2 linked regions of the Struthio camelus genome follow. The protein of the gene in region 1 interacts with the protein of each later gene in a pairwise test. Links are inferred from orthologs where the notes say so. Each region holds a gene or a part of one and is shown on either strand. Other genes may lie near its edges.

Evidence for each region. The genes of interacting proteins can lie anywhere in the genome.
Region 2: the proteins of TCEANC (region 1) and CSRNP1 interact in binary tests that used the Homo sapiens proteins (3 or more experiments, as listed by UniProt). The two-hybrid records come from large-scale screens. The link is inferred for Struthio camelus from reciprocal best matches to the Homo sapiens genes TCEANC and CSRNP1.

The regions. Positions count from the first base shown.
Region 1 is NC_090942.1:140,517,860-140,525,132, forward strand, and holds the start of TCEANC (transcription elongation factor A N-terminal and central domain-containing protein), read right to left. Parts: upstream 3,056-7,273; 5' UTR 2,946-3,055; coding exon 2,855-2,945; exon of another isoform or gene 2,808-2,854; intron 2,662-2,807; exon of another isoform or gene 1-2,661.
Region 2 is NC_090943.1:6,779,081-6,786,081, forward strand, and holds the start of CSRNP1 (cysteine/serine-rich nuclear protein 1), read left to right. Parts: upstream 1-3,934; 5' UTR 3,935-4,134; intron 4,135-7,001. UniProt on the Homo sapiens protein: Binds to the consensus sequence 5'-AGAGTG-3' and has transcriptional activator activity. May have a tumor-suppressor function. May play a role in apoptosis.

The DNA.
Region 1 (7,273 bases):
CTTCCCCCCAAGACCTCTGAACTTTACAGAGTTTCAACTTCGAAGAAAGCCTCATGAATAACATTGAGCTAATACAATAATAACTGAGATAATACAACACTACCGTTGCCAGATATCCTCATTGACCAGAAGAGTTACCTCCTAGTCACAGATCTATAAGAAGCAAAGTACACGATCTCAGAATTACTGCAAAGCCATTCCAGAAATCTCTCCCTCAATTACAGAACTCTAGAAATGTAGTACAGGAGGCAAAATGAATCTTCTGTTTCTCTGTACACAACGGAGTAGAATCACAGAGAACAAGGCAAAGAAAATTATGTTAAAATATCATGTAAAAACATTTTTAAAAACAAAAGAAAAGAGTATAGGAATAATAAACAATCTGATAGAGCAATAGTTTTGTACTGCATCACCCACATTAAAGAGACTGCTTTAACTATAGTAGCCTTAACTAGTCTGGAGTTATACTCTCCCTACCCTGAATTTCTCTTACTGGATCCATTCTCTCACAGCTTTCTTTGCCAGAGAGGGGGTTTGCAAGAGAGAGATTGGCAGCAGTAGATTGTACTCACGGGAGGATGTATATAAAAGGCTAATTTTTATCCTGATTTGGAACTGCTTCCCCTAGAACCTGCATTTTTCATTAGAATGGGAAATCTATTTCCTAAAACAAACAAACAAAAAAAGACTGCATAATGAAGTTATCAAGCCTCAGGGATCAAGACCCAATGTACAGTTCTCAGCACACTTTTCTGATAAGATCAAACAAACATGTATGGACTTAATGAGGAAGGAAAATCTGCTGCCCTTACCAGGCTTAGCACAACTCTCTTCATTTGGCATCAGTACATATGCTGGAGCAAAAAAAAAAAAAAAAAGAAAAAAAGAAAGGACTAAAAATGGTACAGCTACACCTTGTGAGTGACAACTCTGACTTTCCTCACTGGTAACAACTAGCTGAGAATATTCTTTATGAATTAAACCACTTTTACTACAGCTGTTGAGTTGTAGACGTTCCAGCTGATGTTACAATGAAAGCACGCATCCCAACAGAGCTTTTACCTTGCTGAAGGCTTCTTTTAATAATTACTTGCAGGCTTAAATTCCAGTATACCACAACTGAAGTAAATGTTCTGTCTGCAGTGTCTTTTCATAACATATTGTGCTGAGAAAATAAATCAATACACTATAAAAATGAAACACGTAAATCATAAAATCTGTCGTGAACTTTTGAGGGTGACTAGGTATTTTTTGATCATTTGTTGAACGAACATACTTATTGCTTCAACGTTCAGTTTCTAGCTCAGCCTCAGCTCCACGCTACTTCCTTTTACCATTTACTTGTTGGGGATATAGTTACGTTAGATATCACTTTACCATTCTATTACAGGTCTTCCATTGAGAAATTAAATAACTTTTTCCCTTTAGAAACATATTCCTTTACATGCAGAAGAGCACATATGTTCCCCACTCCTTTACAAATAAATTATGTTACAAACAAAGCATATTTGTAAGATATTAACAACTTTTAAAAATTCTTCTGCTAAAATACAAAAGGGAATGCTTAATACATATAAAGTCTAAACATTTGAGAGCTTTCAACGATGCTTGACATATACCGATTGAAAACAGGAAGGATGTGACATACACTTGAAATGGATTTTTAAAGTCCTTAGTTATGAAAAACAAAACTACATTGCTGAATAAAAGTGTGAACTCTTTCATTCCATTCCAAATCGATGTCAGCAGTTGACTTATCTGAATACATCAATGCTGCGTGGAGACTAACACAATAAATCTCAAAAAAATTCCCACAGTACCATCAGCACGGATATTCATCCTGCAATTTTCAAGTTTAGCCTCTTCCGCAATGAGGATTACAGCCGCTCATGACAAATCACTAGGGTAATTACGACAGTGCAGAGAAGCAGCCCTGCCGCATGCATTTGGATAAAACCAGCTGACGTTTGCTTGACAGGAAAATCAACTGGAGACCACAGCTCACCTGGAGGGCTTAGGGAGTTGGTGTGTCTACCCCAGTGGCCGACCATCGGCACTGTAACGGGGGTGTCGGACACTAGTGTAAGACACTACATGCAAATCTGACTGCAAATTAGTTTGCGATCGCTCCCATAAAAACCGTGGCCCAGTGCAATTTCTAATGGATCCCACACAGGGATCTGAGGAGTGTGCTAACTCCATGCCTTTTATTTCAAATTCGCCATTAAAACTTCCTCAGAGGTCTTTCTCCCACAACTCCTCGGACGCTTCCCGCTGAAGTCGGGTCCGCTGCCGTATTGCTTAAGGGCAAATTTTTGCCCCCTTTCTCGGTCTCCTCGGCACGCCGAAGACAGACAGAAAAGCAAGCACTGACCTACCCACCACCACCACTAACTCCTCAGGAAACGCTTCCTGCGCCACGCCGTCCTTCACCGATTCTCCTTGGGTCTGCTCCTGCTCGCGGCCCCGCGCGGCCGGAGCCGGGGCCTGCCACGCCTGTCACCCCACCACGGAAGAAACGGGACCAGCCTGGCACCCGCCTCAACGCGCCACCCGGCGAAGCAGCGCGGACGGCTCCTCTCTGCGGGCGTCGGGGGCCGCCGCCGGGCGGGCCGAGCCCGCGGCCGCCGACGCCATTTCGGGGCGCTCCGGCGCCCCCGCGCCGCGCCGCTCGCTCCCGCCGCCCCCTCCTCACGGGCCGCGCTCCCAACGCCCGGAGACGGGCAGCAACGTCTCCCCGGCATCCCCTGACAGGCAGCGCGGGGGGAGCCTATGCGCCTCGCTGCCGCTGCCCTGGCGAAACGCACAGCTTCACCGACAAACCACCCCCCGGCACCGAGGCTGGCGCCGTTACCTCCGCGCCGGGCCTCAACATGGCGCCTCCCCCCCCCCCCGCCTAGCTCGCCGCTTCCTGCCTCCGCTGCGGGCAGCGCAGCCGCCGCCATCTCGTGCGGGGTCAGCGGCAGCCCGCTCCGCCCCGCTGGGCGCCGGCCTGGGTAGCGGGCCGTGGGTGCCGCTCTCAGACGGTGTGTTTCCCAAATAGCGGGGGAGAAAAAGGGCTTTGGCCCTGCTCCGTCCTGAGCCTTAGGGAAAAAAAAATTGTTAATGCGTAATTTTAAAATTTAACCTCCGTGTCGGTGTGTTCCTTCTCAAGCAAACGCAGCTAGTGCAAGCCGGTATGACACGTAAATGAGTATCCTGTGTGAAGCTAACAGGGGCAAAACCATTGTAAACCTTCCCATTTTTCAGCGCTGTGCTGCATTACTTTTAAGCATAAACAACTAGCTGGTTGAATGATGAATTGAGCTGTCGGTATGCACAGGGTTAAAGCTAAATATTATAAAGCACGCGTCACAGGGTAACAGCTTTTGGATATAATGACAGGTGCTGAACTTATTCAGCAGTCAACATCTAAAAGTTGATGCATTTTAGTCAAAGCTAATACGTTTGTTATTGACTTTTTATTGCTGTGCTTTCCCCTGTCACATATATTTTACATTGGACATTCAAAATGCTTGCCTAAAAGATTAATACACCTAGTCCGTTCTACAGCAAATGCAGAGGTGTACGGAGGAGTTTATCCCCAATTACAGTGGAAAAGCCGGGTCATTTCTTAAGACGTTTTTGTGTTTGTTTACTAATGAGGCCTTTGGAGCCCTCTGCTGACAATGAGGGCTCCTACCTGAAATCAACTTGCCAAATGCATTTTTCAACTTGAGTACCATATAAGGCAGACACACCTCTTCCCCTTCCCCCCTTTTTTACATAATAAACATCACCAGCACTAATCACAAAAGGGGAAAAAACCCTAGCATTATTGTATATGCTATTAAAAATGGTATAAGAATAAGCAAATTATTAAATCATTGTAATGAGCCAGTGAATCAGTGTTCTTTATTGCCTACTATTACAATGTGTTAAGCTGTCAGGGTCTGTGGAGTCTGAAGTGATGCAGTGATGCAGTGGTTGATTTGTACATTGATAACTGAGGAATCTTAAATGATTGCTAATTTCATGTAATAATTAACTCACCTCACAATTTATGTGTGTCAAGCTAACAAATTCATTAGTGATTGAACACACGCTGCAATGGTTAGTGTTGTTCCACATGGCTACATATTGCAGGCAAACAGAGACCACAGTTGAGATCTGGCTTCCTCCGTGCCTCCTCTCTCTGGCCCGTACAGCAACAAAGTGCGGGACAAGGCTTATCCCCGAGAGTCCATAGTATAACCAGATGAGAGGAGGCAAAGAACTTGGGACAGAGGAGGTGACTTTCCCGACCCCTCTCAGCAAACCGCTGACAGACCAGGAACACAGTCCAAGCCTTCCAAGTCCAAATACAGCACGTCATCCAATGGGCTATCTTACATGTATTTATGTTTTTCTGCAGCATGCGTATATCATTAGCTTAGCAGCAGCTGTCATTGCAGTATCCGAGACTTTCAGTTTAGTCTCAGTTTGAGGATCCCAAGAGAAGGCTCTCCGATGCTAGTTTTCTTTAACCTTTTTCTGTCTGCTAAGATTGCGAGTGTGGTATGTAGAGAACTCTTTACACCCTCCGCTTGAAAGTGCATTGCCCATGACAAAGACAGAGAGCTCCCTTGGCAGAGAGAAGCACAGGAAGGAGCACGACTCGCTGCCTCTCGCCATTACCCCTCTTTGAGCAGGGCTCAGAACACAGGACGTCCCTCTCGGGGCAGGTTCGGAGGACTGATTCCCGCTTGAAGGACTGCATAGGCTTCTCCTTTAAATCATCTTTGTGTTAATGAATAACGAGTCATTGTTCCAGGTTCCCATTTATAAAACAGGGACAATAATGCTTTCTCAATTACTCCTGAAGTAAAACAGAATAAAAATATGATAAACATGATATACATTCTAAATTCATACCTATGTTTATATGTGTGTAATGATATATACGTACATCTTTGTACATTTTTTCAGGATCAAATCAGTGCTACCATAACATCTACAAGTTCCGAGTTCATGAGACTTTAGTATTGGCTGTGGTATGTGTCTACTACTCTAAAAACATAGACTGCTATTCAAAAAATGATATATTCTGCCAGCTGCAAAAGATATTTACAGAACTAGCTGGAAAAAAGTTGGTCAAACAATATTCATCATAAGATTCAGGCACAGAATCAGTTTCAAATAAGCTTTACTAAAAAGAGATTTCTTCCAGAACAACAGTTCTTTTTAAAGAAAAAAAGATCAAAACAAAATAGATGGGTGATATTTATGCTATGAAATTAATTTTTACATTTTTATTTCATTTTTAAAATTATGTCTTATCAGGGACTAACAATGCCTGCTGTTTTATCATAAAATGTTGCTCCTTTATCATATAATCCCACACTGATATGACACACCATTTTGTGACATACTGTAATAGTTTAACATTTCTGAGTTTAAATCAGCTGTGGTTTAGCATCGTCTGCCTGCTATCTACAGAAAGACTGTATTAGCATAAGAACGCATGTGAATGCGTGTGGCATGCCATCAGGCAGAAAACATCCTGCAAAATTGCCACAATTATTACTTGATTTATTTATTAATGTATATGTATATCTATGAAGGAGATCACAGATCAAGCCCTGGCTGTGTGATCTGAACTTTCTAAAACCCTGCGCACAGGTAATAGTAGCATCTGTTTCTTATGGAATGGAATCAAGGAAACTGCCTTGAAAACCTAAAAAGGAAATGGTTGGTCACTTGCTAGAAATACTCCTAGATAGGGAGGGAAGGTCAATTTCTGCTCTCAGTAATATCAGTATAAAAGTGTCAGCAGTGAAATCAGATGAGTAATAGGTTTACACAAATATGGCTGAGAACAGAATTTGTCTCCATGTCTTCAGCAGAAAGCTTGAATGCCAAAGTTGTGATGAATGATTAAAAAATACCCTTTCTTCCTGACTGAAAATCAAAGACTACTAAGTAAAGTTACAAATACCATTATTGAAAATACTATTCGTCCTATAAAGAACCATAATCCTATTTAATTTATATTTCATGCAGCCTTTTTAAATACATTTGTATAGCACTGAATTGGCCATGGGATAGTTTCATACTAAATCTCCCTGGAACTATGACTGTTTGCAAAAATGAAACAAGAGGTGGCAACAATTCAGACACGCTATATTAACATGGCTGAATAAAACAGATTTTTTCAGAATTACAGCCATTTTCTAGCACAGGCTCTGAAATGTGATTTTTAATATTGTGTTTCCTGCCTAAGAAGAATTATATCATCCTTGAAAAATCTCGAAAGCCAAGAACAGTACTGACTGATGAAGCAGAAGGGCCCCCAAACTTCTTAGTGTTAGAGGAAGGATGTTGCTGGAATAACGGAGGAAAAAGTGACAAGCAGAGACAGGTACTGCAAAAAGCAGACTTTGGAGAAGTTGAAGGTGTGGGAGGCTAATAAGAAGATATTTTCCAGTGATTTTGAAGACTTCTTTCCAACTGAATTCCTCTGGGAGCATGTAGCCCTGATCGGCCAATAAGTTCATGCCTCAGTCTGTCAATGGCAGGAGATTTAACTTATTTGCAATTTTTTCTGACCTCACATCCAACAGACATTACCCAGATGAGGCATCTGTCTTTTGACAGGGGAATGTAAGCCAAAAGAAGACTTTTAACTTTGCATGCAGTTTGAGTGGAAGTATGCAAGTATATATGTCCTAGCATAAGGCCCTCAAATCATTTCCATCTTGTGTAGGAAGGCAGCTGGGATAGCAGGAAAAGCAGAAGTACACAACATATTCAAAATGATTTGTTTATTTAATAATTTAATAGATTGATTGACTTACTAAATCTTGTAGTAAGAGGATACATTAATATGATTAGGGAGCAGTAAGACCATGCACAAGAAAATATCCCTCATCATATACCTGCTTTCCTATTTCTCCTTTATTCCAATGAATGATCATTATCCTGGGTTACCTTTCCTGCTCTAAGATTGCCTAATGTCAGATTTCTCCAATGTTTTGTTATGTAGCAATCAGTTGGTTTCAGTGGGAGGATATCATAACAAAATTTGTGCCATGGGCTATTATAAGTACTTGTTTGCCTTGTCTTAGTTGAGGGTAAGCCTTCACTATTCACCAGCTATTATGGCAATCCTGGTTACAGTATTGGTGGTTGAAAACGGTGTCTAAACAATGATGAGAAATTTCACCTAAGAAGAAGTAAGCGTGACTGAAATTTTGCACGCGATGTTATGGTAGGTTGGATCATGCGGATTATTTCATTGTTCTTATTGTGATTG
Region 2 (7,001 bases), on another chromosome or scaffold:
CGACAAATAAGGCCGGCGAGGCCCGGTAACGTCTCTCACCTCGCCGTCGCTAGGGCCGCAGCGCACCTGGGGCGAGTCGGGCGTAGGGCGCAGAGCGAGGCAGGCCTTCGTCCGCCCGAGACGACAAACAACGGCGCGGCGGCGAGGTTTTTCGGCGGGGGGAACATCACCGTTTGCCAACCAGCCCGGCCGCCGAGAAGCCGGGCCGTAGCTGCCGCCGGAGAGGCGGGAGGCCCCGGCGCCGCCTTTGCCGCCCCCTGGGTGTTGGGGTCAGCGCTTCACGGGCGCCATGTTGCTGCTTCTTTGCCTTTGCTGCCGCTCACAGCTCCCTCCTCTTTTTTGGGGGGCTTTTTTGAGGTTTTGTCGTCCCCCCCCCAAACCCAGGAGCAGCACCAGAGCGCCATATATATAAAATGATATATTAAGAAAGGACTGTGCCGTCCCAGTACAGACCCATCGTTTCCCAGTTGAGGTGAACAGCCCGGAGCCCGCAGCTGAACCGAAGCCTTCGCCTTGTCGCTTTGATGTCCGCCTTTCGGGGGAGAAAACCCAACTCGGAGCCCTTTTTTCACCTCGCCTCCCGGCTGCTGCCGCCGCCGCCGCCAGGTTAAACAGAAAATTTTTGTTGTTGCTGTTGTTTTTCTCTCCGAAATCCACTGGTTGGGAGGAAGGAGGAAGGAGTCGCAACAGCAAAACCCGCGTTGAGTCAAACTGAGAACAACTTCACGCAACCTACGCAGGAAAAACGTCTTACATCGTTGGAGGGTTATTTATCCTGGGGTGTAAGCGTTTACTTCTTGGGCCGTGCCGTGCCTTTAGGCTGCTTTTTTAAAGGAAAAGCAGTGCTTCGGAAGGAAAAGCCCGAAAGTTTTGCTTCAAAATGCCTTTCTCACACTCGGACACGTCTGAGGTCAGAACCGCTCGTCCCGACTGTTGGCCCTGAGTTGCTAAAGGGTTTTTGTCTTGCCCGGGACTTAGGTCACAGCAGCTTTACTACTGTTGGAACAAATAAACGCAAAGGAGAAAACAAGGCCGGCGACGGGCCGCGCCGCTGCGACTAAAGGACGCTGCAAGCAACCCGCCGCCCTCCGCGAGCCGCCGGTGTTGCAATTTCTCTCCGCCAGCAGAGCGGGCGGCTCGGGCTCGCGTGCGGGGCGGAAGCTGCCGCCTGATGCACCTCCAGCGCACACAACAACAACAACAACAAAATAAATAAAATAAAATAAAAGAAATAAAGCCTTTTATTTCTCGTCGTTAGCCAGTAAGTCGTGAAACCCCAACACGTCCACGAGCCTGCCCGTCATTCGGCCCGACCGTGGCGGCGCGCTGGCATACCTCATCTGCCCGGCACCAGAGGTTCAACGCCGGGTTGCTTTAGCTCAGCGTTGCATAAAGGGAATATTATGGTGCGGAAAAGGGGGGGGTGGCTAAAGAAAGGCTCTGTGTGCGCCGCCAGGACACCGGGGCCCGCGGCGCTCGCGGTCGCTGCCGGGCGTCTTTTATTAAAACCGTCTTCCTTCCCCTCTCGCGCGGAGCCGCTCGCCCACTCCGCTGCCCTGCCGAGGGCGGTGGCGGGGGGGGGGGGGTGTTCGCGTTTCCTACCGTCCCCCGGATGCTGAGCCACGGCGGCTTTAGCAGTCATCGTTTTTGCACCTGATAAAGCATCTCGCGTTTTAATTTCATCCTAAAAGCCTCGCGCCCCCCCGCCCCCGCCTGTTTTCAGGGGCCATTATGGGATCCAAACCCCTTTTGGGGACCAGCTCCAGCTTATGGAGCCCAAACCCCGTTTCAGGACCCAGATATTTTTGGGGAACCCAGAGCTCTTTCGGGAGCCAAGATTTGCTTATGGGGTCCAAGCCCCTTTTGGGGACCCAGACCCCTTTTGGGCATCCAGATGCCTTTGGGGGGCCAACCTTTGCTTGTGGAGCCCAAATCTCTGTTGGGGACTCAAACCTGTTTCAGGGGTCAACATTTGCTTATGGGATCCAAATCCCGTTCTGGGGACCCAGACCCCTTCTGGGAACCCAGACCCCTTTTGGGGCTCAAAATCCCTTTTGATGACCCAGACCCCTTTTGAGGGCCAACCTCTGCTTATGGGATGTAAACCCATTTTGGGGGCTCAGACCCCTTTTGGGGACCAGTCTATGTTCATAGGATCCAGCCCCCTTTCGGGGACCCAACCCCCCTTTGGGAACCCAGACCCCTTTTGAGGACCCATCCCTTTGGGCATGGCATCCAAATCCCTTTTGGGGACCCAGACCTCTTTTGGGGACCCAAACTCCTTTTGGCAACCCACCCCCCTTTTGGGCACACAGACCCCTTTCAGGGATCCAGATCTCTTTTGGTGACCCAAGCCCCTTTTGGGGATCCAGACCTCTTTTGGGGACCTAATCCCCCTTTGGGGAACCCAGACCCCTTTTGATGACCCAAATCCCTTTTGGGCACCCAAACCCCTTTTGGTGACCTATCTCCCTTTTGGGGACCCAGACCCCCTTTTGGGGAACCCAGACCCCTTTTGGTGACCCAAAGTCCTTTTGGGGACCCAACCCCCTTTTGGGGACCCAGACCTCTTTTGGGCACCCAGACCTCTTTTGGGGACCCAACGCCCCCCTTTGGGAACCCATCTCCCTTTTGGAGAACCCAGACCCCTTTTGGGCATGCAAACCCCTTCTGGGGACCCAGACCCCTTTTGGGCACTCAGACCCCTTTTGGTGACCCAGACCTCTTTTGGGGACCCAACCCCCCCCCTTTCAGAATCCAGACCCCTTTTGGAGAACCCTGACCCCTTTTGGTGATCCCAGATCCCTTTTGGGGAACCCAGACCCCTTTTGGGCATGCAAACCCCTTCTGGGGACCTAGACCCCTTTTGAGGACCCAGACCTCTTTTGGGGACCCAACACCCCCCTTTGGGAACCCAGACCCCTTTTGGGCACGCAAACGCCTTCTGGGGACCCAGACCCCTTTTGGGAACCCAGACCCCTTTTGGAGAACCCTGACCCCTTATGGTGATCCAGATCCGGTTTGGGGAACCCAGACCCCTTTTGGGCATGCAAACCCCTTCTGGGGACCCATCCCCCTTTTGAGGACCCAGACCCCTTTTGGGGAACCCGGACCCCTTTTGGTGATCCAGATCCGGTTTGGGGAACCCAGACCCCTTTTGGGCACGCAAACCCCTTCTGGGGACCCATCCCCCTTTTGGGTACCCATCTCCCTTTTGGGGAACCCAGACCCCTTTTGGGCACGCAAACCCCTTCTGGGGACCCATCCCCCTTTTGAGGACCCAGACCCCTTTTGGTGACCCAAACCTCTTTTGGGGACCCAACACCCCCCCCTTTTGGGTACCTGGACCCCTTTTGGAGAACCCTGACCCCTTTTGGGCACGCAAACCCCTTCTGGGGCCCCATCTCCCTTTTGGGTACCTGGACCCCTTTTGAGGAACCTGGACCCCTTTTGGTGATCCAGATCCCTTTTGGGTACCCAGACCCCTTTTGGGGAACCCAGACCCCTTTTGGGCACACAAACCCCTTCTGGGTACCCAGACCCCTTTTGGGGAACCCAGACCCCTTTTGGGCACGCAAACCCCTTCTGGGGCCCCATCTCCCTTTTGGGGACCCAGACCCCCTTTTGGGGAACTCAGACCCCTTTGAAGCCCACCCCGTTGTGTGCCCCCCCCGCTCCTCCACTGGCGGCACCCAGCCCCGCCGCCGCCACCCCCGCGGGGCGACGATGTAGGGGGGCGGCGGCGGCGGGGGGGGGGGAGGCAGCAGCCCGTCGCCCGCGGCGGCTCCGCGCCCCCCGCCGGGGCGGTCGGCGCCCGGGCAGCGCCGCGGCGGCTGGAGGCTCCCGCCTGCCGGGCCGGCGTTGGGGTTGGGGTGGCGGGGAGGGGGGTGGTGGTGGAGGGACGGGGCGGGAAGGACGGGGAAGGAGCCGGGGGGGGGGGGGGCAGGAAGCCGGGCGGGCAGGCCGGGCCGCGCCGTCTCCTCGCCCTGTCACCGCCTGCGTCAGAGCCCCGGAGTTTTCCACTGACGAAAAAGGGCAGCGCAGCGCGGCGCGGCGCAGCCCCGGCAGCGGCAGCGGCAGCAGCGGGAGGCGCCGCGCCAGGCACCGCCGCCGCCGAGCCGCGCCGAGCCGCAGGTAGGGCTGCGGGTGCCCTGGGCTGGGGGGAGACGTGGAGGAGGGGGCGTCCTCGGGGATGCGGCTCCGTGCTCCGCCGTTGCGGGGTCGAGATCGGTGCCCGGAGCGGTGCCCCTCGGTCGGAGGTCCCCTACTCGGTGCCCCTCGGTCGGGGGCGCCCGCTCGATGCCCCGCGGTCGGGGGTCCCCGTCTCTGTTCCCCTCGGTCGGGGGTCCCCGTCTCTGTTCCCCTCGGTCGGGGGTCCCCTACTCGGTGCCTCTCGGTCGGGGGCGCCCGCTCGATGCCCCGCGGTCGGGGGTCCTCGGCTCGGTGCCTCTTGGTCGGGGGTCCCCTACTCGGTGCCCCTCGGTCGGGGGTCCCCTACTCGGTGCCCCTCGGTCGGGGGCGCCCGCTCGATGCCCCGTGGTCGGGGGTCCTTTGCTCGGTGCCCCTTGGTCGAGGGTCCCTATCTCGGTGCCCCTCCGTCGGGGGTCCCCGGCTCGATGCCCCTCGGTCGGGGGTGCTCGCCTCGGTGCCCCTCGGTCGGGGTGCCGGGCTCGGTTCCCTTCGGTCGAAGGTCCGCATCTCGGTGCCCCTCGGTCGAGGGTCTCTATGTCGGTGCCCCTCCGTCCGGGTGCCGGGCTCGGTTCCCCTCGGTCGAGGGTCCCCGTCTCGGTTCCCCTCGGTCGAGGGTCCGCGTCTCGGTTCCCCTCGGTCGAGGGTCTCTATGTCGGTGCCCCTCGGTCGGGTGTCCTCGGCTCGGTTCCCCTCGGTCGAGGGTCCCAGGCTCGGTGACCCTCCGTCGGGGGTCCCCGTCTCAATTCCCCTCGGTTGGGGGGGGGGTCCTCTGCTCGATGCCCCTCGGCCGGGGGCGCCCTCTCGGTTCCCCTCGGTGGGGGTCCGCGGCCCGGTGCCCCTCGGTCCGGCTCGGTGCCGGGCTCGGTGCCCGGCCGCGGGGGCCCGGACGGGAGCGCCGCGGCGGGGCCGGGGGCGGCGGGGCAGAAGCGGAGGACACGGACGGGAGGGCCCCGACGGGGGGCTCCAAACCCTGCCGCCGAGGGGGGCCCGCTGCCCCTGCCCGACGGCCGTGTCGGAGCGGCAAGGTGGAAACGCTGCGCTATATATATGTGTATACACACGCATATATATATGTATATATGTATGTATTTTTTTTTTTCCGAGTTGCACTCAATTTTCCCCTTGTCAGTTAAGTCAGGAGCCTGCTCCATCTTTAAGGCTGCGGTTCCAATTTTCTGATGTTGAAAGAACCGGCGGGGGGGGTGGGAGGGGGGGGAAGGAAAAGGGGGGGGGGAGGCGGCTTGACGGCTCTCTCTTCCCCAAATTTGCCCGGCTGGGGATGTTTTCCCGTCGCTACAGCAACACCTACCGGCGTGGCCCGGCGGCTCCGGCAGCCTCCCCGCGCCCGGCCCGCCGGCCCCGGCCTCCTTTGCTCCTCGAAATAACCAATTTGGGCTTTAGCTTGCACCTGAGAAAATATCTAGTAAAGTTTCCTCAATGTGTATTTTTTGCTTCCCCCTCCCTCCCCTCCCCGCAAGGATCTGTCACCTACGAGTTACATAATCTCGCTTTAGGAAGAGGCTGACACATGCCACAACCCTTCTCTAAAGCAGTCCCGGCTTACTAACGCGCCTAATTACAAAGCATCGGTGGGACGGGAGAGAAAACGCTCGGAGCCATTTGCAAACCTAAAAGTCAAGTCGTTTGTTACAGCAAATTATCAAGTCACCAGCAAGTGGAGGTTTTGTTGTTGTTTGTTGTTGTTGTTTTTCTGGTTTTCCACGAGAGTTTTTTTGCTAAGCGCTTTGCGGATGAGGCCCGTCAAGGTTCAGAGGTTTATTTTCGGGATAGCGCGTTTGTTCTCCGCTCGGCGAGGCTCTGCAGCTCCTGGCAAGCCTTTAATAATTTAGTGCAGGAAATGTGTGCGTCTATATAGAAGGCAAGGTAATGCACAGTGTGTACCTACAGGAGGACAAATATGGAAACCTGGCGTGAATTATTCATAAGGTGTAATCAAATAGAGGATTTTCCTAGACAAAGCGCACTTTGCTGTTTTCATATTTATTACAGTACAATCTGGGCTGAGTGTATTTGAACCTCATTTCGTTTGGGCCGTGTCAGATAACCTTTAATGCATTTGCTAATGTTTCTTATTTACCTTTCAAGTTGCCAGCAAGAAATAATGGCTTGACAGAAAATATCACAGCTGGGGGCTTGCTGAGCTTTTTTTTTATTATTATTTTTGGATTTTTCCCCGTGCTTTTGAAAATTATTCGGTCAAGTAAGCACTTCTTATATTCTTCCCGGGGAAGGTGTTTTGCTTTTTCAGTCTCTGGCATGAGAATAAACTCGTGGTACTACGAACTGATTCATGCTGCTATTCTGTGGCACCGAGTAGTTTGGGTTTTACTGTTGCATAGTAGGCAGAGTCTATTTTTAACCAGAGTAAGGTTATGAAACCTTAGACCCAGCTGAGTGAAAATAATCTGGTTGGAAGTGGAAAGCACGGCTCCCGCGCCTGGGAATACTTGCGGGGAGACGGACCAGCTCCCGCTCTCTCCCTCGGAGGGTCTCGCCGGGCTGAGCCGCCGCTTGGCGCTCGCCGAAAGCAGCCCGGGCGCTCGCCGAAATTGGGAAGCGTCAGAGCGGAGGCTGCGACAGCGGCACGAGGGAAACCGCTTAAGTAAATATGCAGAGAATTAAAATAGTTAAATGAATGAGCCATGAATCAGGGCTGATAGCAGGCTGATTATTAAGTAACCCAGAGGCGTTGCTGGAAGCACCGCCGTGGTTAGATGTCAAGTGTGTCAGAGAGCTAAAGGAAAAGCTCAGCTTCGCACCAGTTTTTAGTAATACTCACCCCAAGGTCA